Linked DNA regions of Saccharomyces cerevisiae S288C. Changing the gene in region 1 together with any one later gene gives a genetic interaction. Each region holds a gene or a part of one and is shown in the gene's direction. Other genes may lie near its edges. The genes, in order: HSP32, RSF2, FBP26 and AMN1.

The links.
Region 2: mutations in HSP32 (region 1) and RSF2 together harm fitness more than expected from each alone (negative genetic interaction), as found in Saccharomyces cerevisiae (one large-scale study listed by BioGRID).
Region 3: mutations in HSP32 (region 1) and FBP26 together harm fitness more than expected from each alone (negative genetic interaction), as found in Saccharomyces cerevisiae (one large-scale study listed by BioGRID).
Region 4: mutations in HSP32 (region 1) and AMN1 together harm fitness more than expected from each alone (negative genetic interaction), as found in Saccharomyces cerevisiae (one large-scale study listed by BioGRID).

Annotation. Positions count from the first base shown.
Region 1 is NC_001148.4:8,309-15,525, forward strand, and holds HSP32 (glutathione-independent methylglyoxalase family protein), read left to right. Parts: upstream 1-3,578; coding exon 3,579-4,292; downstream 4,293-7,217. Other genes in the region: seripauperin PAU22, read right to left, coding at 1-119; phosphopyruvate hydratase ERR2, read right to left, coding at 1,249-2,562; FEX2 (fluoride transporter), read right to left, coding at 4,920-6,047; YPL278C (uncharacterized protein), read right to left, coding at 6,745-7,047; YPL277C (uncharacterized protein), read right to left, coding at 7,097-7,217. UniProt on the Saccharomyces cerevisiae protein: Catalyzes the conversion of methylglyoxal (MG) to D-lactate in a single glutathione (GSH)-independent step. May play a role in detoxifying endogenously produced glyoxals. Involved in protection against reactive oxygen species (ROS).
Region 2 is NC_001142.9:654,383-664,973, reverse strand, and holds RSF2 (Rsf2p), read left to right. Parts: upstream 1-1,914; coding exon 1,915-6,057; downstream 6,058-10,591. Other genes in the region: EFM3 (protein-lysine N-methyltransferase), read left to right, coding at 1-974; YJR128W (uncharacterized protein), read right to left, coding at 1,694-2,053; VPS70 (putative zinc metalloprotease), read left to right, coding at 6,285-8,720; ENT3 (Ent3p), read left to right, coding at 9,011-10,237. UniProt on the Saccharomyces cerevisiae protein: Transcription factor that regulates expression of both nuclear and mitochondrial genes, and more specifically those required for glycerol-based growth and respiration.
Region 3 is NC_001142.9:128,785-132,500, reverse strand, and holds FBP26 (fructose-2,6-bisphosphatase), read left to right. Parts: upstream 1-1,857; coding exon 1,858-3,216; downstream 3,217-3,716. Other genes in the region: retromer subunit VPS35, read left to right, coding at 1-1,400; SSY5 (Ssy5p), read left to right, coding at 3,549-3,716. UniProt on the Saccharomyces cerevisiae protein: Monofunctional, high-specificity fructose-2,6-bisphosphatase, which releases phosphate from the 2-position of fructose 2,6-bisphosphate. Has no detectable 6-phosphofructo-2-kinase activity.
Region 4 is NC_001134.8:550,720-558,698, forward strand, and holds AMN1 (Amn1p), read left to right. Parts: upstream 1-5,829; coding exon 5,830-7,479; downstream 7,480-7,979. Other genes in the region: HSP70/90 family co-chaperone CNS1, read left to right, coding at 1-209; SLI15 (Sli15p), read right to left, coding at 385-2,481; ICS2 (Ics2p), read right to left, coding at 2,824-3,591; IFA38 (ketoreductase), read left to right, coding at 7,966-7,979. UniProt on the Saccharomyces cerevisiae protein: Negative regulator of the mitotic exit network (MEN), required for multiple cell cycle checkpoints. Acts in the daughter cell to inhibit the mitotic exit pathway once MEN has executed its function.

The DNA of each region.
Region 1 (7,217 bases):
GTATTTGTTTTGTTTGTTAGTGCTGATATAAGCTTAACAGGAAAGAAATGAATAAAGACATATTCTCGAAGGCATATAGTTGAAGTATCTCTATTTATACCTATTCCTTCATTGGTCATCACCACTTAAACGATTCGTTAACAGATGCTCCTTTAGCACTTCACATATTCTCCATATCTCATCTTTCCCACAACTTCATGATCACTATGAAGATGTTTTTGTTTTTAAACGAGGCATGCATCTTTATAGATTCTGTATGCGAAGGTATTGTTTTCTGGGGCCTTTGTCTATTCGTATGCGCCGAATGTGAGAATGCCAGTTATAGGGGTGCCGAGGTGCCTTATAAAACCCTTTTCCGTGCCTGTGATACTTCCTTTTTTGGTATAGCAGAATGTCTGAATTTAGTTGCTATAGATCCTCGTTCAGAAGCGTATTGCTAAGCCTATCTCCAGTATACCCTAAACGATCGCCGAGAAAAAATAATACTGTACCCTCCTATTTCCCGGAATTGTACAGAATAGTAGGTATGTGCTGGGAGTCGTATATTGTTAGAGTCTGTAATTTTTACGCGCGCCTAGTGGATTCGTTGATACGATTACGTTATTCTAAACCGTCGCAAAGCAAATTGTGTTGAAGTAATTCAAGACTTTAAATCACTTGTACCAAAATCATTGTTGCGAAAACTTATCCTCAGTATTAGTTTCTTGACCGTAACAGTAGTTGAAAAAAATAAAATCATTTCTATGATCGATACACTTTCATTATTTAACTTCTCTATTATGGTGTAACTTCTTACTTTTGTCAGAAAAAAAGATTTCAAGACACAACAAGAATGGGGTCAAAGGTCTGCTTGTACTATCAGGAAGATTTGATACCAACCGCGTTATAAGGGTTACTAGAAAGTAATAGCTGCTAAAAAATTTAAACCGAAGAGATTAATCAGAAAGCTGAAAAACTGCAGTGTTAGTAGAGTTGTAAGCATTTCTTGATTGGAACAGCCTTCCCCCACACGTCCACCCTTGTTCAGACAGATTCGTAATGATTTTGTGTGTAGGCAATGGAAAACTTTAAAAACGGTTTGATTTCCTACAAGATAAAACATATGAATAAAATAACTTGTGTCAAATGCCCCATTTCCATACTGTAACCCAAATCAACGAAATAAAAAATAAAACCTCATATGATTTACTTTATTTAGTCATAAAAAAACAAAAAAAAAAAAAAAAAAAAAGGAAACAAGACAATCCTTTATAGTTTGTTTCCATCATGAAACCTATGACCAGCATATATACAATCGTCCCCCAGTTCCTCTTCGATACGCAAAAGTTCATTATACTTGGCCAGTCTTTCTGATCTCGACAAAGCGCCCGATTTAATTTGACCACATCTTAAACCAACGACCAAATCAGCGATAAACGGATCTTCGGTTTCACCTGATCTATGCGATATCATTACACCCCATCCAGCATCGAAAGCCTGATTGGCGGCTTCAATAGACTCAGTCAGAGTACCGATCTGGTTGAGTTTCAGCAACAGAGTATTCGCACATTTCTCCTCTATAGCACGGGCGATCCTGGTCTTGTTGGTGCATGTCAGGTCATCTGCAATAATCTGAACATTGACAGTCTTTAGGAAGGCAGACCACGAGGACCAATCATCTTCGGCGTAGGGATCTTCCAGGGAAATGATTGGGTATTTCTTTAGCAATGAATGGTAATATTCTGCTAACTGGGCTGGACTGAGCCAGTGAGATGGGTCAGAGTTCGGTTCCTTGAAATTTAGGTCGTATTTCCCGTCCTTATAAAAAACAGAAGGAGCACTATCGATTCCTACTTTCACTCTACCCTCGTAACCGCATATGTTAATGGCTTCCACAATCATGTCCAAGGCGTCTTCGGCAGTGTCAATATCGGGGGCAACTCCACCCTCGTCACCAACATTTCCAGCGGAAGGTCCATATTGCTCCTTCGCCAATATCTTCAAATGATGGTAAACTTCCGAACCCATCCTCATGGCTTCTGCAAAGCTCTGAGCCCCGACTGGCGCGATCTTGAATTCTTGCATAGCTAAAGAGCCACCGGCGTGGGCTCCACCATTCAAAACATTGAAAAAAGGAACAGGAATAACAAAGGGGTCCTGTCTAGCATCCGCTAACTCGGCTATATACTTGTAGAGAGTAATTCCCTTTTGTGCGGCAGCAGCTCGAGCAACGCACAAGGAAACACCAAGGATAGCATTGGCGCCCAACCTTGACTTGTTAGAAGTTCCGTCTAACGATATCATGAGCTCGTCTATGCCCTTCTGATTGGTTACACATAATTCGGACTTGATTAAAGCAGGCCCTATGATACTATTGACGTTACTGACTGCCTTGGTCACCCCTTTTCCCATCCATTCGGACTTGTTCCCGTCTCTAAGTTCAACAGCTTCGTGAATGCCGGTGGAGGCACCAGATGGGACGATCGCTCTGAAGAGACCATTCTCTGTTGTAATTTCAACCTCAACAGTCGGATTGCCGCGAGAATCATACACCGTTCTAGCATGTACCTTCGTGATGGACATATTTTTATCGTTGAGATTCGATTTTTTCCTCACCTTGTTTTGGTATTTCTATTGCAAGACAAAGTGAAAGAAGAAGAAGTGGTGGTAAAAAATAACTATATATAATGAAAATTGTAACCTGGTGGGAGTGCAAACTGTAAGTGATAACCTGCCAGATCCATGTTTCTATTATATACCTAAGAACCAGCCAAGTTAGGTAAACGAGGAGTCTTTCAATATCTCTTTTCTAGTGAGAATGTTATTTAGGTAAATGAACAAGTTACCACTATACTACTCACCCCCTACACTTTGTTTGTGACCTCTCCCCTTATCCAGTTCATCGAAACTTTTTTTTCAACTTGTGGCGATCTGTGACATTGTCTACTACAAGAACCGATTTTGGTTGATGTCTGTAAAAAAAACAACCTTACCTTTCCAGATCCAACTTTCCAGGAGAGCTGCGTGAGTTTCAAATATTTACCATGTCGGAGAAAGCTCCCAAGTACTTCCTTGTTCTTGTCATTTTTTCCTTATCTCCATCCTTTAAGGAAGGTATTTCCATTATGCGATTCTATAAATCCGAGCATGCGAGTATTTCTTTTCTTGGCGCGGAGTCGCTGATGACGCAATAGGCACATTCACGAACATCCAGGACTGGTAATCTTCTCGTCTTAAAGAAAATCCAACCACCAGTAAGAAACTCTTGGGTAAAATGGGGTATCTGAAATATTGCATAGCTGCAAATGAAGATATTCAGTATCAGCATAGGTATTTTCATGAAGGATAGGTAAAAAGAAAGAAAAGAAAAATATCTTTTTGACTGTTGTTCTTGCAATTATCACAATTAGGGGACTTTAAAACCGATACTTGATATATGAGCACAGTCAAGGGGCCGGTTCTTGAGATTTTAATGGAAAAGAGGAAAGTTGCACATACAGGTCTGCTTTTCTTTGCTTGCTCCAGACAACGATACTTAGAACTAAAACATATTTCTAGAACACTTTTCTCCTTCATTCAAAAAGAAAACTGGCCTTGCAATGACTCCAAAAAGAGCGCTAATATCTCTTACTTCATACCACGGTCCCTTCTATAAAGATGGTGCGAAAACAGGCGTTTTTGTAGTTGAGATTTTGCGGTCGTTCGATACTTTCGAAAAGCATGGTTTCGAAGTGGACTTCGTTTCTGAGACTGGTGGATTTGGCTGGGATGAACATTACTTGCCAAAGAGCTTTATTGGTGGCGAAGATAAGATGAACTTTGAAACGAAAAATTCCGCCTTCAATAAGGCGTTAGCGAGGATCAAGACCGCAAATGAAGTCAACGCCAGCGACTATAAAATATTCTTTGCATCTGCTGGACATGGTGCTCTATTTGACTATCCCAAAGCTAAAAATCTGCAAGATATTGCATCCAAGATATATGCCAATGGGGGTGTGATCGCTGCCATCTGTCATGGACCGCTCCTTTTCGATGGATTAATAGATATCAAAACAACAAGACCATTAATCGAAGGCAAAGCTATAACAGGTTTCCCACTCGAGGGTGAAATCGCCCTGGGAGTTGACGACATCTTGAGGAGCAGAAAATTGACAACGGTTGAACGCGTTGCAAACAAGAATGGAGCCAAGTACTTGGCGCCAATCCATCCCTGGGATGACTACTCTATTACAGATGGAAAGCTAGTTACGGGTGTTAACGCAAATTCTTCCTATTCGACCACAATTAGAGCTATAAACGCATTATATAGCTGAAACAAAAGACAAGGGAATTGTTGAAGGGGAGGCTTCTAATGGCTTTCAGTTTCTGTGAAGAGAAGGCTAACAGCTCAATGGTTCGAAAGGTAAAGAAAACGGCAGGTCGGTAGCACTCGATTTTGCTAGAATGGAAATCATATAGAGAACAATTGAATAGTAGGCCTTGGTTTTTAGTGTTGTACTCATCATGGTCATATGTGACATAGGTAATGTACATATATATATAAAAAAAAAAAAAGCAATGCTGTGAGATCATTCGTTACTTACGAAATACGCAGATTGCAATTTGAAATAAGCTGTGTTTTCTTTTTTTTCCTTTTTTTTTCTTTTTTTTGGCTTGTTATATACAACTTTTTTCTATTTCTGTTCTTTTTAGAAGTAATTAATTGGTACATAGGAAATAAATATGAATTATATTAAATGAAGTAAAAGTAAAAGAAAACGGGGAAATTTATCGTTTTGTAGTAAATAGATGATGGAACGCATTCATAAAATCTCACAAAATATTACAATAAACCGCAGTAGTCGGTAAAAATGTATTATACAACGTCTAAAATCTTGAAAATGAATTAAAAAAAAAAAAAGGTGGGATGATTGTGCAGGAAAAGGTATGAAGAAAAGATCCTAACAAATCGGGTTAGTCAATCCTCTAGTCCAAGCATAGGATCCGAGAGTTATCACCAATAAGCAATATGAAATTCCAATCGAAACAGTATAATAAATAAGCATGTTAATAAATGATAGCTTATACCCTTCATTGATAAACGTGCTAATGGTACTCAAAGTGCCGCAAAATCCGGATATTAACGCAGAAACAATATGGCATGAATTCAACGAGTTCACAATTGGAATATCCGTGGAAAAGTGTTTTTTACCACGTTGCACCATGGTAAATATGCCAATCAATAAAGTGGCGAAAACGTTTGCCAAGAAAGTACCCAATGGAAACTTTTTGTTTGTTTTATTAAACATTTCTGCCAACCAATATCTTAGGAAACCAGCGAAAATTCCAAATAGACATGGTAGTGTCCACTTGCCCCTCGAATAGTTCTCATAATACGCACACAGCACCACAAACAAAATAATTAATGGAAAAGCTAGTGCGTACGCGAGTTTATCCACAACATCAAAAAATTTCTTAAAAAATGGTGCTGGAGTTTTGAATTTAAACTCTAGAATATTTTTTTCCATTTCTTGTGTATCAACATCACCAGCATTTTCCTTTACAGTGTCTGAGGGAGGGGTATATGGCTTCGAAAACGAACTAGATCCATAAGCAACAATAACCTCCTTACCAAGTTGCCTACCGAAAATAAGACTACCCATGGAAACCATAAGATGAACGAGCAAGACAGATAAAAACTCCATTATACCGTAAGCTCTGTTCGGCAGTTTTGTGTGGTTAGCGATATTACCGTTAGTTAAGTTTGTAGAGTGTTCGAACATCTCTAGCAGCATACTAGAAAAGGAAGACAGGGCACCACAGTACCCAGTAGTTACACCTAAAAACAAGACTTGGTGATCTTTCATCCAAGTGTAAGCATTTAAAGATTGCATAATCCCCATTAGCATGCAGGATGAACAATTAGACCAGAGAACGGTCGGAGCAGTAACGAAGGCCGGAGTGTAGGTGGAAAGCGCCGTTATAGCCTGACGTGTTTCAGTACCTAATATGCAGAACGTGGTGAATGTACAAAAAACATGAATATAATGGCTCAACTTGTGATTTGATATGACCGGATTGAAAATCATCAGAGCATTACACGCTCGATTAAATAATTAAATAACTGCAGATTCTTGAGCCACCAGACGCTAAATAATAATGGCGGCAATAAATATAATCCTTTAGTACTTATTTCAGTTGTTTTTTGTTTTATTTTTTCCGTATCTCTTCCGTATCTCTTCCATCATTGCGTCAAAAGTGATTTACACTGCTACATGAATCGCGCCACTTTATGTCAGTGAATCTTTCATACATCGCAACTCCTCACTGACAGTGACTCTAGCAGAGTCACCATCTTTTCGATATACCCATCAAAGTGCACGATTCTCCTCCCCTGTTAGACAATCGTAACGTAATATCGACATGTATTCGTAGCACCGCTGCCAAATAATTTTCAGATCGTTCATTGTACATGAACCAAGCGCTGTTGCTTTACTTTATGATATTGCTGCTGAGCTCCCTTGTCTTTCATACGACGTTTTATCTTGATTTCATATCTTTTTTTTTTGGTAAAATAGAAAATACTCAACAGATATCTGATATGTATATAAACACTAAATAAAGAAAATCTTAAATCTTGCTGGCATGACTGTCGCTGTGTCTCAAATCTCTTAGTAATTCATAGATGTGTATCACCCCAAATCTCAAAAACTTCATAATTATTATTGGATTATCTAGAAATCATACCCTTCATACTGTCCCACAATGGCCTGCTCACATGAGGCGCTAATGATTACGATTAACCATCAAATCATTTATATTGATACACTGTAGTTTACTGTTAATAACCAACCTTTGTCGAGATTCATCAAAGTGGGTTCCAAATCCCTCATTGTGGGAACCTGGTTCAGTCATACCCATTGGAGATGGGCCCCAGGAAGGAGTGTAACAAACTTCATCCCAATTGCATTGCCTCTCACAACGGTAATTTAGTTCAATCCACCCTAGAGATTCAATTAAACCATCGATAGTGGAGCGAGCCGTTTCGACATTCTTTATTAAGTCGCTGGAAGTTGTGTTATCTGTCATAAAAGAGTAGACTTCGGGTATCAATAAATCATTCACTTTATAAATGACATCAACAATTTCTCCGACAACGCTGACAGCAGATGACCAAATCAAAAAGTCTGCATCCGTTTTTAAGGCCTGGTATGGGCTCACATATTGGTAGACAAAAGTTCAATGTGAGTGCTGTTGCA
Region 2 (10,591 bases), on another chromosome or scaffold:
GAAAATACTTGCTAGAAGAGTTGGAAACAAGCAAATCTAACGATGTCCTGCATGCATCGAGATTTGTTTGTGAGATGGAACTTGTGCAAAAGACGAATGCATATTATTGCAAAACCATAGTCAAGATGCTCTTAGACCACGAATGGATTTTCGCGAAGGCATTCACAATTGTCAACGATGGCGAAGACGAGATAGAGATATATGATTATCTCTATGAGAAGTACATAAAACTATTAAGCACAGGCAAGCCAGACCCGATGATGAAAGACGTCGTGAGGTACAGGTTTGACGAGGACGTAAAGATCAAAATTGAGGAAACACCGAATTTGATCAGTGCGGCCAGTACTACAGGTTTCAGGACATGGGAAGCTGCCTTATACATGGGTGATTTCCTTATTCATAAGCCCTTACAAGAGTTGGCACCGGTACAAGGACAAGACGATGGCAAGAAAAAATTAAATGTTCTTGAGGTCGGCGCTGGCACAGGCATAGTGAGTCTCGTCATTTTACAAAAGTATCACGAGTTCGTAAATAAGATGTACGTCACGGATGGTGATTCGAATCTCGTTGAGACGCAGCTGAAAAGAAATTTTGAATTGAACAATGAAGTGCGTGAGAACGAACCAGACATCAAGTTGCAAAGATTATGGTGGGGCAGCGATAGAGTTCCTGAGGATATAGATTTAGTAGTGGGGGCAGATGTTACGTATGACCCAACTATCCTTCCTGATCTATGCGAGTGTCTGGCCGAATGTCTTGCTTTAGACCGATGCAAACTGTGTCTCCTATCCGCGACAATTAGAAGCGAATCCACTGTCCAACTGTTTTCTCAAGAGTGCAATAAACTCGGGCTAAAATGTACCATAGTCACCAGCACAGAGTACGACGCAAACAACGAGATCCGCGCGATGAAAGCCCTGCAATTCAAACCTTTGATTGCACCCATACGGATCTACAAGATCACGAAACAATAAGATACATGTGCAAGTACAAGTTCAAAAATAAAACATAACTAAAAAAAAAAAGAAAAAAAATATAGTCATCTTCTGACACTCGAGTCTCATTCAGCTAATCAAAACAACTAGCAATCCACTCGAGTTCTTATAAATGACCCGGAAATTGATCTCTCCACATTACGCTTATCACGAATAAGACCGAGTGTTCAAATAAATAGCTCGATCTTCGTACTGTCTAATGCGGTGGATTAGTACTTTAGGACAAAGTTACTTTTTTTCGGAAGGAAACTTCAAAAATAGAATTAACAAATAAGAAGGAAAAGCGAAAAACAAATCTCATTGCCTGTGCTTTCTTTTATACTTTTTTTTTTCGCTCGGAACCTCTTGCTTATACACGGTTTTTTTCCACGGAAACCTCGGTTACCCTTCAATTACTGGAACGTTAGGGCACAATCTAACAAATATATATACTGGCTTACAAGATGTAACAAACTACGAATAGTGGTACGAAGCTTATCACATGCACCATTATCTGTAACTGGGTTGCCGCCAACAGCAGACTCATGGGCTGGTTGAAAAAATCTTGGAAAACAGAGATAAACAGCTCGGCAGATAACATTTCCTGCGACCTTAATGCTGCGTTAGGTGTAATTGTCGCAATTTGCGGCCGGCCATAGTTGTTCGTGCTACAATATATGGAAGAAGCAACTGTTTTTGAATCAACGGTAGTAACGACCTTATATCATCATACACGAAAATACGCACAGACGGGGGTGAACCACTCCAGGGGCAGAGTAGAGTGTACAAGGAAAATTGTGATCTCGCCGCACGGTGCTGCATCGCGGAAATTCTCCGTAGGGCAACGGATAAGGTAACTGCGTATGCGGCATCGACAATAGGTAACTACGCGAGCAACTTCTATTAAGAGAAATAATTTTTGGGAAATGGCCTGTTTCGGATGGAACCGTTCGCATTTGGACGAGGGGCGCCTGCATTATGCATACTAACCGCGGCCGCTCGAATAAATCTGGACAATTTTGTTCCGTGTTGCTGGGCACTTTTCCGTCTGTCTTTCTTTTTCCCGCTTGACCCTGCATATATTAGAAACGAAAACAAAGAAACAAGGACTTCTTGGATTTCCATAGAGTTTTTTTTCTTCGTTAAACATTGCCTCTCTCAACACACGTTTTTCTCGAAGACTCTTGCACCAAAAAGAAACTTTAGGGCGAAGAAGCTAAAAGACATTGGCGATACTAGAATAGATAGGGCAGATAAAGATTTTTTATTAGTGCCGGAGCCAAGTATGTTTGTGAACGGTAATCAATCTAATTTCGCTAAGCCCGCTGGTCAAGGTATTCTGCCCATTCCTAAAAAATCTCGAATTATTAAGACTGATAAGCCAAGACCGTTCTTGTGTCCCACATGCACTAGGGGTTTTGTCAGGCAGGAGCATTTGAAGAGACATCAGCATTCGCATACCCGTGAGAAACCGTATCTTTGTATCTTTTGCGGTAGGTGTTTTGCTCGTAGAGATTTAGTGCTCAGGCATCAGCAAAAACTTCATGCTGCTCTTGTAGGTACGGGGGATCCACGGCGAATGACGCCAGCACCAAATTCGACTTCTTCTTTTGCCTCCAAGCGGCGCCATTCCGTGGCGGCGGATGATCCAACCGACCTTCATATCATTAAAATAGCCGGAAATAAAGAGACTATTCTACCCACCCCGAAGAACCTTGCTGGTAAGACATCTGAAGAATTGAAAGAGGCCGTGGTTGCCTTGGCCAAATCAAATAATGTAGAACTTCCCGTCTCGGCCCCAGTAATGAACGATAAGCGAGAGAAAACTCCTCCTAGTAAGGCAGGCTCCCTAGGATTTCGAGAGTTCAAGTTCAGCACGAAAGGCGTGCCAGTTCACTCTGCATCAAGCGATGCTGTTATCGACAGGGCGAACACTCCCTCTTCCATGCATAAGACGAAAAGACATGCGTCTTTCTCTGCATCCAGTGCAATGACTTACATGTCTAGTAGCAATAGCCCCCACCATTCAATTACCAATTTCGAGCTCGTTGAAGACGCTCCGCATCAAGTCGGCTTTTCTACTCCACAAATGACCGCGAAGCAGCTCATGGAAAGCGTGTCAGAATTGGATTTACCTCCGTTAACCCTGGACGAACCACCGCAAGCTATCAAGTTTAACTTAAATCTATTTAACAATGACCCCTCCGGACAGCAACAACAACAACAACAACAACAGCAAAATTCCACCTCTAGTACCATAGTGAACAGCAACAATGGAAGTACAGTTGCTACACCTGGAGTGTATCTCTTAAGTAGCGGTCCATCTTTAACCGATCTTTTGACAATGAACTCTGCACATGCAGGTGCGGGAGGATACATGTCTAGCCACCATTCGCCATTTGATTTGGGCTGCTTCAGTCATGATAAACCGACAGTTTCTGAATTTAACCTTCCGTCAAGCTTCCCGAATACTATACCGTCTAATTCTACTACGGCTTCTAATAGTTACAGTAATTTGGCAAATCAAACTTATAGGCAAATGAGCAATGAGCAGCCGCTTATGTCACTATCTCCTAAAAACCCACCAACAACTGTTTCAGATTCCTCTTCCACGATCAATTTCAATCCAGGCACAAATAATTTACTGGAACCATCAATGGAGCCCAATGATAAGGATAGTAATATCGATCCTGCTGCCATAGATGACAAGTGGTTATCAGAGTTTATTAACAACTCTGATCCAAAATCTACCTTCAAGATCAACTTCAATCATTTCAATGACATTGGGTTTATTTATTCTCCACCTTCATCAAGGTCATCTATACCAAACAAGTCACCTCCAAACCATTCTGCTACCTCATTAAATCATGAAAAAGCTTCTTTATCACCTCGCTTAAACTTGAGTTTGAATGGAAGCACAGATTTACCAAGTACACCACAAAACCAACTAAAGGAGCCTTCCTATTCTGACCCTATTTCCCATAGTTCTCATAAGAGGCGTCGTGATAGCGTCATGATGGACTACGATCTATCCAATTTTTTCAGCTCAAGGCAATTGGATATTTCCAAGGTATTAAACGGGACAGAGCAAAATAATTCTCATGTGAACGACGATGTTCTCACTTTGTCTTTCCCCGGCGAAACTGATTCTAATGCAACACAGAAACAGCTGCCTGTTCTTACTCCTTCGGATTTGTTATCTCCGTTTTCTGTCCCTTCAGTATCTCAAGTGCTTTTTACCAATGAGCTAAGGAGTATGATGCTAGCCGACAATAATATCGATTCAGGAGCCTTCCCCACAACTAGTCAATTGAACGATTATGTGACTTACTATAAGGAAGAATTCCATCCATTTTTTTCATTTATTCATCTTCCTTCTATCATACCTAATATGGACAGTTATCCCTTGTTATTATCTATCTCCATGGTCGGAGCATTGTATGGGTTTCATTCGACGCATGCAAAAGTGTTAGCTAATGCAGCTAGCACCCAAATTAGGAAAAGCTTGAAAGTTAGTGAGAAAAACCCGGAGACGACAGAGTTATGGGTTATACAGACATTAGTATTGCTAACGTTCTACTGTATTTTCAATAAAAATACAGCCGTGATCAAGGGGATGCATGGTCAGTTGACGACTATTATTCGTCTCTTGAAGGCCTCTCGTTTAAATTTGCCCCTAGAGTCCCTATGCCAGCCGCCTATTGAGAGTGATCATATTATGGAATATGAAAACAGTCCTCATATGTTTTCAAAAATAAGAGAGCAATACAACGCGCCGAATCAAATGAACAAAAACTACCAATATTTTGTATTGGCGCAGTCACGTATCAGGACTTGCCATGCGGTATTACTTATATCTAACTTATTTTCTTCACTGGTAGGTGCTGATTGCTGTTTTCATTCAGTCGATTTAAAATGTGGTGTTCCATGCTATAAAGAAGAATTATATCAGTGCCGAAATTCCGATGAATGGTCGGACCTATTATGTCAATACAAAATAACGTTAGATTCGAAATTTTCGTTGATTGAATTGTCTAATGGTAACGAGGCATATGAAAATTGTTTGAGGTTTCTTTCTACAGGCGATAGTTTTTTTTACGGAAATGCTAGGGTTTCGTTAAGTACATGTCTATCATTGTTGATATCTATCCATGAGAAAATACTTATTGAAAGAAATAACGCAAGGATCAGTAATAACAACACCAATAGCAATAACATTGAGTTGGACGATATTGAGTGGAAGATGACTTCCAGACAACGGATCGATACAATGTTAAAATACTGGGAAAACCTTTATTTGAAAAATGGTGGCATCTTGACACCTACCGAGAATAGCATGTCAACAATAAACGCCAATCCAGCAATGAGGTTAATAATTCCGGTATATTTGTTTGCCAAAATGAGACGGTGTTTGGACCTGGCACATGTTATTGAGAAAATCTGGTTGAAAGATTGGTCCAATATGAATAAAGCTTTGGAGGAAGTTTGCTATGACATGGGTTCATTGAGGGAAGCTACCGAGTATGCACTGAATATGGTGGATGCGTGGACTTCATTTTTTACGTACATTAAACAGGGCAAGCGCAGAATTTTCAATACTCCTGTATTTGCGACCACATGTATGTTCACTGCAGTATTAGTGATTTCGGAATACATGAAATGTGTAGAGGATTGGGCACGCGGGTACAATGCCAACAACCCTAACTCAGCATTATTGGATTTTTCGGACCGTGTCTTATGGCTAAAAGCAGAAAGGATTTTGAGAAGATTACAAATGAACTTGATACCGAAGGAGTGTGATGTGTTGAAATCGTACACTGATTTCTTAAGATGGCAGGACAAGGATGCCCTAGATTTGTCAGCACTAAATGAAGAACAAGCACAAAGGGCCATGGACCCGAATACCGATATAAATGAGACAATTCAACTAATTGTAGCGGCAAGTCTATCCTCCAAATGTTTATATTTGGGTGTTCAAATATTGGGTGATGCGCCAATTTGGCCTATAATATTATCGTTCGCTCATGGTTTGCAATCAAGAGCTATCTATAGTGTTACGAAAAAAAGAAACACTAGAATATAAGTCCGATTTACAAATATATAATGGCGGCCGTCTCTATACTATAGTATTTACAGAATTAAAGCTTAGAACTATCATAACTTTCATAATATACCACCAGGCTTCAAAAAGGCATTGTTCCATTCGGAGTTTGCTTGAGTTTGATGGCCCGGGTAAAAAGGTTTGACAAGGCAAGGGGCCGTACTTATTAAAACAATTTCAACATGCACAATTAAGAATGTAAGAGATATATGAGAATGATACAGAGAGAGAGAAAGAGAGAGAAAGAGGAAGGTCAATTAAAGGAGAGAACTGTTGTTAATATGGCAGACCCTGATGACAATGAGGCCGAAGCCACTGGATTACAACAATATAGTGGCGAGACCACTCGCGATGACAATGAAGAAAGCATGAATGATTCTTTCACTTTAACATCCAGGAATAGAGGCAGAAGTAATACAATATCTAGTATTGTTAGTGGTTATGAAATAATGAAAGAACATATGGACAAGGAAAAGTTTATGTACTTGATTCTAGCGAGTCTCCTTTTGTACATGGGATTTGTTGCCGCATTTGCTCCCAGGACGTCTTTATCAAGAGACTTTCGGCGGTTTCACTCTTCCAGATTGACGAATGCAGAGGTTTATAGGATATACTTGAACTCCTTGCAACAGGAAAATAGAGCGAAAGAACATGTATACAAGTATGCTGGGTACATGAGCAACGGAGCAAGTGATTCGTCAACGTTTAAATATACCTTGGACGAGTTTCTAGATATGGGGTACAAACCCAAAGTTGAAAAATATTACCCATGGATAGGTGAACCAGTAGACACTAACGTAGCTCCTTTAGAAAATGGTAAAGTGGTCTACGAAGCAAGCATGATCGAGGATAGAGTTAAAGGTGATCCTGCTTCTCACGCTAGGAAAAGGCAAAAGGGTTTCCATCAATATTCAAAAAATGGAAGTGTAACTGCTCGATACGTGTTTTGCAATTATGGTAGCATCAGTGATTACAAGCTACTTTTGAAGAAAAACATTGATATTGAAGATAAAATCCACATCGTACGATCGGGTAAAATATTACCTGGATTAAAGGTAAAGAATGCAGAACTTTATGGCGCTTCCAGTGTCATTATATATACAGACCCATTTGACGATGGTAAAGTTACTGAGGAAAATGGGTTTTTACACTATCCTTATGGACCAGCAAGAAACCCAAGTTATATTAGGAGAGATTCTGTAAACTATTTCAGTGACACTCCAGGAGATCCGACAACTCCAGGGTATCCCTCCAAGGATTCCGACACTGAACATATGTCACCGGTAGGGAGAGTGCCGAGGATACCATCGGTGCCGATGAGTGCTAGAGATGTCCAACCAATTTTAGAAAGATTGAATGGCAGGGGTTTTCAAATTGGGCCCGGTAGTAATATAAAAGATTTTGGATCATTCACTGGACCTTCAAGCTCTATCGATAAAGTCCATTTGCATAATGAGCTAACTTACAACATCAAGGAAATGAGTAGTGTAGAGGTTAGTATCCCTGGTATATTCACTGAGGGGGAGATTATTATCGGAGCTCATAGGGATTCGCTCGCCTCGAGTAGCGCCGGTGATGCAAATAGTGGCAGCGCTATTCTTTTAGAAATTGCACGAGGAATGAGTAAATTACTTAAGCATGGTTGGAAGCCACTGCGTCCTATCAAACTAATAAGTTGGGATGGTGAACGATCCGGCCTTCTGGGATCTACAGATTATGCAGAAGCTCATGCTGCGATTCTCAGGAGAAGGGCCTTGGTATACCTAAATCTAGATAATGCAATCTCTGGGACAAATTTTCACTGTAAAGCCAACCCACTTTTACAAGACGTGATATACGAAGCTGCTAAGCTCACGGAATTTAATGGGCACGAAGACTGGTCATTGTTCGACCATTGGAAATACACTTCTAATGCCACTATTTCTCTACTTGATGGGTTGTCTAGTTACACTTCATTTCAGTACCATCTTGGAGTGCCCGCTGCACATTTTCAGTTTAATGCCAATGATACTTCAGGCGCAGTCTATCATAGTAACTCCGTATTCGATAGCCCAACTTGGTTGGAAAAATTTACCAATTCTGACTACAAGTTACACAACACCATGGCCATGTTTGTAGGTTTGACAACGCTGATGCTGAGTGAAAACGAACTGGCAAGATTCAATACACATGTTTACCTGAAGAAAATATATAACTGGTATATCGCATGGCACTCTAATCTATCTTCAGCATTTCCCCAGGACGATGAAGTGAACAGCTTAGCAAAAAGGGTTCTGGACTTATTAAAAGTTGCCACACAGGAAGATAGCATCCAATTTGACCAACAAAATGGTATTCTCTATAAAGAGTGTAGGGAAGCTTTACCTGTTTGGGCTTTTTACAAAAAAATCAAGAGCTATATTAAACTGCAACGATCCAATAGCAAATCAAAGCAAATTGATCAATTATTTATTACACACAGAGGACTGAAAGACAGGGAATGGATGAAGTACTCTCTTTTAGCACCTAGTAAGTTTGAGGGATCTGTCGGGGAAGTTTTGCCCGGCCTTCACGAAGGATTGGCTGATATTGATAGAAACGAGGTCATTCAGTGGTTAACCATTTTGCTAAGCCAATTCAGCAACGTTCGCTATTTACTTCAATAAGCATTTAAGTACCTCACCTCAGTATATACATTTATTTTATTTGCATACGTAGAGTGACTTTGAATAATAACCATGAGAGGCTTTTTTGTATATACTCTATAAACATGGCTTCAATTTCTTATACATGTCACACCGTACGTTGTGCGAGGTGATTAGGAAAAGTAAAAGGGGACTAGAAGAATCATGAAATGATTTGTAGATACAGTTATTTGAGGAAAGCAAAAATTACCAATTCAGGAAGGTGTAGGGACGTCGATAGGAGATCACATCGTTAATTAGTGTTAGGAAGAATGAGTTTAGAGGATACATTAGCCAACATGTCATTATATGACGCCAAGAAATATTTTCGTAAAGCTCAAAATGTTGTTTTCAATTATACTGAGATGGAGGGGAAAGTTCGTGAAGCGACAAACAACGAGCCTTGGGGTGCCTCATCCACTTTAATGGACCAGATTTCTCAAGGAACTTACAATTTCAGGGAAAGAGAAGAAATTTTGTCCATGATATTCAGAAGGTTCACTGAAAAGGCAGGTAGTGAGTGGAGGCAAATTTATAAAGCCTTGCAATTGCTCGATTACCTTATCAAACACGGTTCTGAAAGGTTTATCGATGATACAAGGAATAGCATTAACTTAATTAGGATTTTAGAAACTTTTCACTATATTGATTCCCAGGGAAGAGATCAAGGAATTAATGTCAGAACTAGGGTCAAAGCTTTGATTGAATTATTGAGCGACGATAATAAGATACGCGCAGAAAGAAAAAAGGCAAGAGAAACGGCAAAGAAGTACAAGGGCGTTGCTGGAGGATCTGCCTCTGCTGATGGCAGTTTGAATTCGAAGGCAGGTTTCACGTCAACGAAAGTGCACGGCATTAGCGTGAGTGCTGATTTCGATAGTGACAATGAAGATAACGAAGATGGTTCTTTTAGTCAAAATGGATATAACGATAATGCCTCGAGAGCCACATCTACTCCTGGGCAAGGAAAACAAGAACCAGAGGACTTTGTTGACTTTTTTTCTAGTGAGTCTTCAAAACCATCTAAAGAACTCATACAAGAAGATGAAAAGAAGGCGGACGAAGAAGAGGACGATGATGACGAGTTTTCAGAATTTCAAAGCGCCGTCCCTGTTACCAACCCTGCTAATTCGTTTAACTTGCTAAACACGAGCCCAATTGAGGGTATGCCCGCCACCACGAGTTCAATGCCTTTTTATAACAGCTCCACTACCGACCAAGGCAAGATTACCCCAGCTATTGCGGAACCTAAAAAAGTAGATCCTTTTAGCTCTCTCTTTTCAACTGCAAAGGCATCTGCAGAAGCACCTAGTGCTCCTAAAGCATCCCAAGCGAAAGCCGCTGCCTCTAATCCTGTATCTAATAGCACAACTGCACTAAGTACAGATCAAGATGATGATGACGAATTTGGTGAAATGCATGGTGGAGCTGTTCAACAAGAACAGAATACCAATAATAACCATACATCATCCAAAGAAATCGATTTACTTTCCTTTTGAGTGATATTATTGGTTTACACAATATGTAAATGTTTTATAACAATAGAAAGTACTTTGTAACAGGTATTACGAACATTACTATCTAATCTCCACTGTATTTCTCCTTTATATGTTTGTCTTGATTTCGTGAAATAGTTTGTGAACATTTTTTTGATCTTTTTTTCGTAAAGAAGGGCCCTTTTCAAATTTATTTACATTTTGGTCATTTGAAAATACTTTACTTAAAAAGACGAGGAAGAAACTGTAAATCCATAGTTCGAGAGTTGAAGTGCCCTTCAAAACAAAAACTCCTGACTTTTTTTGCTCATTTTTAGTCAATGAACTAAAACTCACCTTCCTTCTCGTTTATTTTTG
Region 3 (3,716 bases), on another chromosome or scaffold:
ACAAACTCCAAGTTCAGCGCCTGCTTTCAATCTGTGAGCCCTTAATAATATCAAGAAGCGGACCGCCCGCAAATGTTGCATCCTCGGATACAAATGTAGACGAAGTGTTTTTTAATCGACATGATGAAGAAGAATCCTGGATACTGGACCCAATACAGGAAAAGTTGGCACATTTGATTCATTGGATAATGAACACTACTTCTCGGAAACAAACAATGAAAAACAAAATTCAATTTAGCTTAGAAGCCCAATTGGAAATATTACTTCTTATTAAATCTTCGTTCATTAAAGGTGGCATCAATGTTAAATACACTTTTCCAGCAATAATCACAAATTTTTGGAAACTGATGAGGAAATGCCGTATGATACAAGAGTACCTTTTGAAAAAAAGACCCGATAACAAGACGTTACTTTCCCATTATTCCAATCTTTTAAAGCAAATGTTTAAATTTGTTTCTCGTTGTATCAATGATATCTTTAATTCTTGCAACAACTCATGCACAGATCTGATTCTGAAACTGAATTTACAATGTGCCATTCTAGCTGATCAATTGCAATTAAACGAAATTTCATATGATTTTTTCTCACAGGCCTTCACAATATTTGAAGAGTCTCTAAGTGATTCAAAGACTCAGTTACAGGCTTTAATATATATTGCTCAGTCTTTACAAAAGACAAGATCACTCTACAAAGAAGCTTATTATGATTCTTTGATTGTCAGATGCACACTCCATGGATCCAAATTATTAAAGAAACAAGACCAATGTCGTGCTGTTTATTTATGCTCCCACCTCTGGTGGGCAACGGAAATTTCAAATATTGGTGAGGAAGAAGGTATCACAGACAACTTCTACAGAGATGGTAAACGGGTGTTAGAATGTCTACAAAGGTCTCTCCGTGTGGCGGATTCTATAATGGATAACGAACAGAGTTGTGAGCTAATGGTCGAAATATTAAATAGATGCCTCTACTATTTTATTCACGGGGATGAGTCCGAAACTCATATATCGATAAAATACATCAATGGTCTGATCGAACTAATCAAAACAAACTTAAAATCGCTAAAACTAGAAGATAACAGTGCCTCTATGATTACCAACTCAATCAGTGATTTGCACATCACCGGAGAAAATAATGTGAAGGCAAGCAGTAATGCTGACGATGGCTCTGTAATCACAGATAAGGAATCAAATGTTGCCATAGGATCGGATGGTACGTATATTCAATTAAATACTCTGAACGGATCTTCCACGCTAATACGCGGAGTCGTAGCAACTGCTTCAGGTAGTAAATTACTGCACCAACTGAAGTATATCCCAATCCACCATTTTCGACGCACTTGTGAGTACATTGAAAGTCAAAGAGAAGTTGACGATCGTTTCAAAGTCATATATGTATAGTTAAATAACGTACTTGCTCTTCGTACATGCCCAAGATAAAAAAAAACTACACAAATAAAGCTAATAAAAATTTACCTAAAGAAGGATCATAGATTAAGTGGAAGGAAACTTGTACATAATTCGAGTTTATTTTCAACTAAGATATCAAGGATTGTTTACTATAAAAACACTTAATTGGGTAATTTCTATTTTTTACTTTTTTTCTGTGTTAAAAAAATGGGTCGCGCCAATGCGCTCACAAATCTATTCTTATCCCTAACTTACATCTACATGTAAAGCGCCACTAAGAGAGCTATAGCTTATCATACATTTACATCAGGTAAAGTATCATTTTGGCCAGTGGATACGAATTTAATATATAATCTTTGCTTTCCCTTCGCTCTTAAATTCACCAAGCAAGTTTGTTAAGAAATAAAGGAAAGGGGGCTCAAAAACCGAATCAAGTAAGACAAGAAACATGGGGTACAGTACTATTTCCAACGATAATGATATCAAAGTATGTGTGATAATGGTTGGCCTACCAGCTAGAGGAAAGTCTTTTATTTCCCAAAAAATTATCAGGTACTTATCGTGGTTATCCATAAAAGCCAAGTGTTTTAATGTGGGAAATTACAGAAGAGACGTGAGTGGAAATGTCCCAATGGATGCTGAGTTTTTTAACTTCGAAAATACAGATAATTTTAAACTCAGAGAATTGGCTGCCCAAAATGCCATAAAAGATATTGTTAATTTTTTTACTAAAGAAGACGGATCTGTGGCAGTTTTCGATGCTACTAATAGTACACGTAAAAGAAGGAAATGGCTTAAAGATATATGTGAAAAGAATAATATTCAACCGATGTTTTTAGAGAGCTGGAGTAACGATCATGAACTGATTATAAATAACGCTAAGGATATCGGTAGCACATCTCCTGATTATGAAAACTCTGAACCTCATGTGGCGGAAGCTGATTTTTTGGAAAGAATTAGACAATATGAAAGATTTTATGAACCTTTGGACCCCCAAAAAGATAAGGATATGACGTTCATTAAGTTGGTCAATATTATTGAAGAAGTAGTAATTAATAAGATCAGAACATATTTGGAAAGTAGGATTGTATTTTATGTTATGAATATTCGTCCTAAACCAAAATATATCTGGCTCTCCCGTCACGGCGAATCGATCTATAACGTAGAGAAAAAAATTGGCGGGGATTCATCACTGTCTGAAAGAGGCTTTCAGTACGCTAAAAAATTGGAGCAGTTAGTGAAAGAGAGCGCAGGAGAAATAAATTTGACCGTGTGGACTTCCACCTTAAAAAGAACACAACAAACGGCAAATTATCTTCCCTATAAGAAACTGCAATGGAAAGCACTTGATGAATTAGACGCTGGCGTTTGTGACGGAATGACGTATGAGGAAATTGAAAAAGAATATCCTGAAGATTTTAAAGCACGTGATAATGACAAATACGAGTACAGATATCGTGGTGGAGAATCATACAGAGATGTAGTGATTCGTTTAGAGCCCGTCATTATGGAATTGGAGCGCCAAGAAAATGTTCTCATTATAACTCATCAAGCCGTACTTCGGTGTATATATGCATATTTTATGAACGTTCCACAGGAGGAATCCCCTTGGATGTCAATCCCACTACACACATTGATCAAGCTGGAGCCTAGGGCCTATGGCACAAAGGTCACCAAAATTAAAGCAAACATCCCTGCAGTGAGTACATATAAAGAGAAGGGTACAAGCCAAGTAGGTGAGCTTTCTCAAAGCTCAACTAAACTTCATCAACTGCTCAATGACTCTCCTTTGGAAGACAAATTTTAAATTTTACTTTTTATTTTTGTGTATCTTAAGTCCAAGCTTACTTGTGGCTGATACGCACAATCTTTTATGTACGAAAAGATCAGGAAACGTAGCATTGATGGTTTTTTATGTACGTCTGCAGCATTGTATGTAATTATTACCCAAACTAATTTTAAGTGAAATTGTAGAACGCCGCGGCGGAAGTATTTTTGAGTAAAAAAAAAAAAGTAAGATTCGAAAATGAAATTATACAGTACAGAAAACGTAAATATACAATAAAGGTTGAATAAACATACTAGATATCCTCCTTTCTTTTTGCATGTACATAGTACTGGTGTAAACTCGATATACCGATGGTCAGATTTTTTGGTTTAAACAAGAAAAAGAACGAAGAAAAGGAAAATACAGACTTGCCTGCAGACAATGAACAAAACGCAGCAGAAACGTCGTCTAGCAACGTATCTGGAAATGAAGAAAGAATAGACCCAAACAGTCATGATACGAACCCTGAAAATGCAAAC
Region 4 (7,979 bases), on another chromosome or scaffold:
AGAAAGTGTTGGTGTTCATGGAAACAAAGGCAGGTGGTTTGATTAAAGCTGGTAAGAAACTGACATTTCACGATATCTTGAAGAAAGAGTCGCCAGATGTACCATTGTTCGATAACGCTTTGAAAATATATATTGTGCCAAAGGTAGAAAGTGAAGGGTGGATTTCCAAGTGGGATAAGCAAAAAGCCTTAGAAAGAAGATCTGTGTGAAGTGTCAAATAGTTAAAAATATGTAACGCAAAGTTGTAGATAGAAATAACAAAGCAAGAAGGAAAAGTAAAGAAAGTGAACGATATACGTAATGCAGGGGGAATACCAGAGTATTTAAAGTGTACTTGATTTAATGTTAACCAGTTTGAATTTTTCTTTTCTGGGGTAATCGAATTCAAGACCTTTTGGGCACAATTTGACGCGGTTTCAACCTGTTTAGCCTAGGATTTGGGAAAATTTCATCGGTGTGCAAAGGCGGAATTGGTCCAAAGATAGTTTGTGGATTTATATCTTGCTGTCTTATCAATTGCTCTTGCAAATACGGGGATTTAGCCCATGCCGCTAAAGTTACGCTAGCCTCATCTTCAGAATCAGTATTTATCTCTGGTAAAGAATCATTGACAGAGGCTATCTTTGGGGTCACATTTCCGATTATTTCTCGATGGTCAACTGTATTTATTGTGGCCAATATATTGTCGGTACTAAATGCAGTATTTTTGTTGATGGTATCTCGCACATGATTATCGAAAGGAGCCAAAGATTCTTTTAGACGTATGTCCTTGTAGTCATTACTAAAGCTTGTTTGCTTTTTTAGATCTTGTTCCAAATGCGACATCCTTTTTTGTTTCTCTTGTTTACGCCGATGATGTTCCTGTTGAGACCTCATAATTCCTGATAACCTTTTATCAAACTTTTTTTTTAAGTCATCTCGTTCTGCCTCTGCTGGTGGAAGTAATTGAAGGTTTGTAAGCCGATAATTTTTGGATTTACGAGACTCTGGCTTGGAGATGTCAGCAATATTCGGAGAAAGTTTTCTTAATGTTTTCTCTTTAATTTTCAAACGATGTGGCGTTTGCGACGTTGTTAAATTTTTATTTTTATTAGGCGAAATAGACGCTTTTGTTGGTCTCAAATAACCTCTTACAGGGCTTTGGTAATAATTTTTAACTTCTTTAGATGGCGAGCTTGAATCGACACTTATTTTTGTTGGAGAAATACTGTGCGGTCTTGAACCAGTTTTATGAACATCACTAGAGTGTTTGGACTTCTTTTTCTGTTCTGCAATGATTGCTAGCTTTTTGTGTGTCGTTAGCTTCAAAGAAGTCTTATCAAACCTCGGAATAGAGGATTTTCGAGAGTTTTTTCCTTTGGGTGAATTATTTTTGGTTATTTTATTTTTTACTGAGAATATATCTCTTAACGCTTCTTGCATATCAGTATCCGTGGAGTTTATTGACTTAAACTTTTGAGAAACTTTTTTCATGGGGGAGCCTGTTAAATCGATTGATGAAGAGGAGTATTTGTGACCAACGTTTCCACGGGAAATTTTGTTTTCAAATGATTTTGTTGGAATAGATGATAGCCTATCGAAAACACTGGATGCTTTTGTAGATCCCGCGGTATCACTGTTTTCCACAGCTCTTATAGCAGGACTATTTATCGTAGATTTTTTTTTAAATGCGATTGGTGATTCCTTTACTGTTCGTACTTTTGGTATTGATCCTGAAGATTTTGTTGGTGGAATGTGTTGAATAATAAGAGGATCTTTATTCGGCAGTGGAACAAACATATTCGACCTTCTTTGAGATCTCGCTATCCCAGAATTCGGTGGTGGTTTCACCTTTACTGATTCAGCTTTCTTTAAAGCTTGAAGTATAGGTTCATTCTCCATTTCTTCCTTAGCCGCCCATGTTTGATTATCGAAGCGTTTTGTATTAATCGGAGACTCCGAAGTCTTGGAGGATTCTCTTAGAACCTTTTCAACTTTGTAAGGTGACCATGGTGAGGATTTTTCGCTTTCATTGGCGTCGACTTTAACGCTATTCAATGGCTCAACCGGGCTTTTATTGGTATCATGTATACTAAATCTATTCATTCCTTCGGTGACTTCCTTCCTGCGGAGTGATTTAGGCGTGATACTTTTATCGTTATGTAATCCATTTCTGGGTGTCTTAGTAACGTCTTTTGCGGCATCATTCTGGGAGTTAGAAAGTTCATATTCTCCTTTCATTTTAGGAAATTCGACATCCATTTTGTTATGCGTATTTTCGGGGCTAATTAAAGACTCTTCCATCTTTTTGTCTTCATACTTGAGTGTATTCATATAAACATTATTTCTTAACCATTCACTACTTTCGTACAATCGTTGATTTATTTCTGAATGTGCATCTGTTGTTAGATTATTTAGATCATCGAGGGTTTCTATGATTGAACGGGTAGAGCCTGGCTTCCTTTGAGTTTTCTTCCTAGCTGCTTTGATTGCCCAGTCCATTGTTTAAATCTTCGGGCTCTTTCAAAGTCCGTCAGTTGAGGAGATACTTTGAAACGTTTTGTTTGTATCATTGGCAATACTTGAAACGAGTTTTTGTTTGTTTTCTTTTTTTAGTTAATTCGCGAAATTTAAAATATGAAGATCGGTTTCAGAACAGAATGGATCAGGCTTTTCCGCGTATAAGAAATAATAACACTGACATAACGCTATAACGAAACAGCGTAACAAAATACTCTTTACATGGTTTATTTTTATATATTCATTTAACATTATCAAAACTAACATTAAGTCCTTTATTTATCAAAACAAACGAAAAAAAAAAATGCGAGACAAATGATCCAGTCATTTATTGTCAATATCTAAGTCAATTAGTGGTTGCAATATGTCTCCAGTTTCCACTTTATGAGCAAAAATTTTGCCCTCAATATTTATCTGATTTTTTTCAGCGAATTCTTTCAAACTCCCGAATCTACCGCTTGCGTTTCTTCTTAATTGTTCATTGGTATTCATGATTGTGTTTTTCGGGGACATTTGGTGGGTATATGAAGTATCCGGTGAAGAATGATATTCTTTGTCCAAGAAAGAACTTGCCAATGAAGTTTTTCTTGAATTGACGCCTATGCTTGAATTAGAATCGTACCCGTCAATGAAATTTGGCTTACAAGACCTGCTGAATGAGATTGCATGACTTTTTCTGTGGTAACTTTTCCTTCGCCCTGAAGGCTTTGTAAGTTCGTGTGATAATGAACGTGAATGCGAATGTGATGATAATTCATTACTTTCTACCCTTAAAGGTGATACCGCATTAGGCTTTCTTGGACATATGGAGGAATTTCTCCTCGTTTTCACACCATCCTTGTCTCCAGGGAAAGAGTAGGTCTTCAGCTTGTTGAACAGAGCTTCGCCTTGAGACTCTTCAAAATAAAAGCTCTTTTCGTACTCATGGGGTTGTTTGCTGCTATCGAACTGAGATTCTGTTGAAGAGAGAGAGCTGAAACGTCCATAGAGTGGGCTGCCAAGTGATTTAATGGATGTACTAGATTGACTGCCCGTAGTAGGAAAACTAAATGTGCTTATTCTTTCTCTTTCTTTTTGCTCAAATTTGCCCATATCTTGCTGGAAAGGGAAACTTCAGTGAAGTAATAACGAAGGTGGTGTAGAGTATAAATTTTTATTAAGTATGCGCTTTGACGTTCACATATTTGTAAAAGATTTATTTGAGAAGATAGAATGGGTCTCATTTATTTATACTTAAATGCTTCTTTGGATGTCAAGCTTTCTTGATGCCGGACTTGCAGTCGAAGGGCTCTTTCCCAACAGATATGTAACCAAATGCGTCGAATAGAAAAAGAAAGTCTTCCAAGGAAAGTTTATTACGAGGGGTTTTGTGCATTAACGTGGCATATAATTAGGTATAAACTCAAGGTTGGCTTAAGATTAGCGAAACAAAAGTATAAACGACCCAAAATTGGAGTGGATGTGTTCTTTAACACATAAACTGTCGTACAAAAAAAAAAGAAACAAAGAGCAGTTGAAAGAACATCAAGATCATAAGGACCCCCATATCGTGATAATCATTGATGACCAAATCGTGAACTCCCTGCGCCTATGCCGTGCCATAGCAAATAAAGTACTGGGCTGGATTGTTAATGACTTGCATATTAACGACAGGTAAACGGTACCCTATTTTTCTTTTTTACGTGCTACGGACGAAAAGTGAGGGTGATTAACGCTTCAAATAAGAAACGACGGCTAGCAGGGTCTAGATGCGTGAGATGAGATAAGGAAAAGAGCTCTGTGTCCCAGGTAATAATCCCTGGAGAGATATAATCTTCCCTACAACTTGATTGCATATTAACGCTCCCAAGTTGTGGCCATTGAAGAGCTCTACAGCAATGTCCCGACGAACGGAAATAACCCTCTTTTTCATGATATTTTCGGAGTTATCTCCACTGTCAACAACTATTCTCGAATATAACAGAATGAAAGGGATCACGTACGCTTGTTATATTGCTGTCGTTCTCCGTTCGCAATCCCATTATATGCGAGGGGCAAAAGAAGAGACGGCCGGTAACTCATTTTTTGGTGTGTGAGAATTGCGGAAGCTTCGTTCTCCCACCTTTTTTCGCTGTGTTTTTCTTGTCCTCAGCACCGGCTGGTCAAGCCGGTGCTGAACGGCCGGAGAGAAATATAAACGGATGAAAACGTGTTAATAATTGCATCAGTAGTAGGTGGCGGGGTTGTCTCATTTTTGTTATGGCGTAAGGTGAAAAATTGTAAAGGATTGGTTCGGTTGGGTTGGCGACAATTAATTATGGGATAAAAAATTGCTTAATCTTTATTGGAGCAATTACCTGCATAGGCACTCATAGGCCACAAGGGTTTGATGGCGGAAGGATGTTATACCTACGATACTACCATACATGTGATATGTCACTTTCTAGTCCGAAGCGTGGAACATATTATCTTGTTTGACGTTGTGGGTGTTAACCGTAATTGTCTGGGTACGCCGAAGGCACGGAGACCATGTTAAAATATGTTTCTCTTTTTTGCTCATTTTTTTCTATTTTTTGCTGCGCATTGCCCGAAGCTTTTCTTAGTGGTAGTCTGCTCTCGCGCTCTTTGTTACACTCGCAAAATTTTTTTGCTGGGCAAAATAAAGCACTCTCCGGCCATTACTGGCTGTCGTCCGCCAGGATTTTCATTAACTTGCAGAAGTAAACAAACAAAACACAATTATGACACCGTGGAAGTTTCCTAAATGGTAACAAAAAGCTTAATTGAAAGAAAGAATTTCCTTCAACTTCGGTTTCCTGGTTCCGCTATTTCTCGCTTGTTTCTTCTATTGGACTTAGGATGTCTCATCAATCATCTTATTCCTGCTGGTGTTTTTTGTATCGCCTTGCCTTGGAGTGTTTATGCTTGTCCTTTGTTCAGTAACCATTCTTCAAGTTTGTTTCAAGTAGTAGGATACCTTCAGATATACGAAAGAAAGGGAGTATAGTTGTGGATATATATATATATAGCAACCCTTCTTTATAAGGGTCCTATAGACTATACTCTTCACACTTTAAAGTACGGAATTAAGGCCCAAGGGAACTAACAAAAACGTTCAAAAAGTTTTAAAACTATATGTGTTAACTGTACAAAAATAACTTATTTATCATATCATTTTTTTCTCTGTTTATTTCTTCTAGAACTTATACCTGTCTTTTCCTTTTATTCTTTGAATTTGGTTTAATATCCCTTTTTGGTTTAATATCCATCCATTCCTTTCACTTAGAACTAATAATTCCCTTCGTTTGATAATTTATCATTTTCCTTTTCTGTTAGTAAAGTACCCATTAAATGAAACTAGAACGCGTAAGCAGCAATGGCTCCTTCAAAAGAGGTAGAGATATCCAGTCACTTGAATCTCCGTGTACTAGACCGCTGAAAAAAATGTCACCTAGTCCATCTTTCACATCTCTTAAAATGGAGAAGCCTTTCAAAGATATTGTAAGGAAGTATGGAGGTCATCTTCATCAAAGTAGTTACAATCCCGGCTCAAGCAAAGTGGAGTTAGTAAGACCAGATTTGTCTTTAAAAACAGATCAAAGTTTTCTTCAAAGTAGTGTGCAAACTACGCCTAATAAGAAAAGCTGCAATGAGTATCTTTCAACTCCAGAGGCCACACCATTAAAAAATACGGCTACAGAAAATGCATGGGCAACCTCTCGAGTTGTTTCTGCATCCAGTCTTTCTATAGTGACACCAACGGAAATTAAAAACATTCTTGTTGATGAATTCTCTGAATTGAAGTTAGGGCAACCTTTGACTGCTCAACATCAGCGAAGTCATGCGGTCTTTGAAATTCCTGAGATTGTGGAAAATATCATAAAAATGATAGTTTCTCTAGAATCTGCAAATATACCAAAGGAAAGACCATGCTTAAGAAGAAATCCACAATCTTATGAGCACTCTCTGCTTATGTACAAAGACGAAGAGAGAGCAAAAAAAGCATGGTCAGCAGCCCAGCAGCTACGAGACCCACCATTAGTCGGACACAAGGAGAAGAAGCAAGGGGCCTTATTTAGTTGTATGATGGTTAACAGGTTATGGCTTAACGTAACAAGGCCTTTTCTTTTCAAAAGCTTGCACTTTAAGAGCGTCCATAATTTTAAGGAGTTTTTACGAACTTCCCAGGAGACGACACAAGTAATGAGACCGTCTCATTTTATATTGCACAAATTACATCAAGTAACACAACCAGATATAGAAAGGCTTTCCAGAATGGAGTGTCAAAATTTGAAATGGTTAGAATTTTACGTTTGCCCTAGAATAACTCCCCCATTAAGCTGGTTTGATAACCTCCATAAACTTGAAAAGCTTATTATTCCAGGCAATAAAAACATAGATGATAACTTTTTACTCAGACTATCACAGAGCATACCAAATTTAAAGCACTTAGTTTTAAGAGCATGTGATAATGTCAGTGATTCAGGTGTTGTTTGCATTGCTTTGAATTGCCCGAAATTAAAAACATTTAACATTGGCAGACATAGGCGTGGAAATTTAATTACGAGTGTCTCACTGGTCGCGCTAGGCAAATACACACAGGTGGAAACTGTGGGGTTTGCCGGTTGTGATGTTGATGATGCCGGTATTTGGGAATTTGCTCGATTAAATGGCAAAAATGTTGAAAGATTGTCTTTAAATTCCTGTCGTCTTTTGACTGATTACTCTCTACCCATTCTTTTTGCTTTAAACTCATTTCCAAATCTGGCTGTTTTAGAGATCAGAAATTTAGATAAAATAACTGATGTGAGGCATTTCGTGAAGTACAACTTGTGGAAAAAATCATTGGATGCCCCCATTCTAATCGAAGCATGTGAACGTATTACGAAACTAATCGATCAAGAAGAAAATAGAGTTAAGAGGATTAACTCCTTGGTTGCCTTAAAAGATATGACAGCTTGGGTTAATGCAGACGACGAAATAGAGAATAATGTGGACTAGATGGTTTTTGTGACTTTACCTATAAATAGTACACAACAGACCACCAGTAATTCTACACACTTCTTAACTGATAATATTATTATAATTGTAACTTTTTAGCAGCACTAAATTTAATGAATACATAGATTTTTAACTAGCATTTTACTATTCTGTACTTTTTACTTGAAATTCCAGAAGGGCCGAAGAAACCAGAATTCCTTCACAGAAAACTATTGAACTACAGAATTCTCCAAAAGATACACTCATAGTGTTAAGACGAATCAATGTCTCGGATTTGGAAGTCCTTTATAGAGATAATTGTAGGGGCCTTTTGTAATGTTTCGGATGTTCTGTTTTAAGTCCGCGGGAGGCCTTTTTATTTTTCGCTTTTTTAGAGATTTCACGAATAAAAGCGTTGCAGAAATGCAACTTCAAAAGAGACTGAAGGAAACACAGATAGAAGAACAGTCTTCAAAGCAATCAATTCGTGTCGGTGCAGCTTAAGAAATGACTTTTATGCA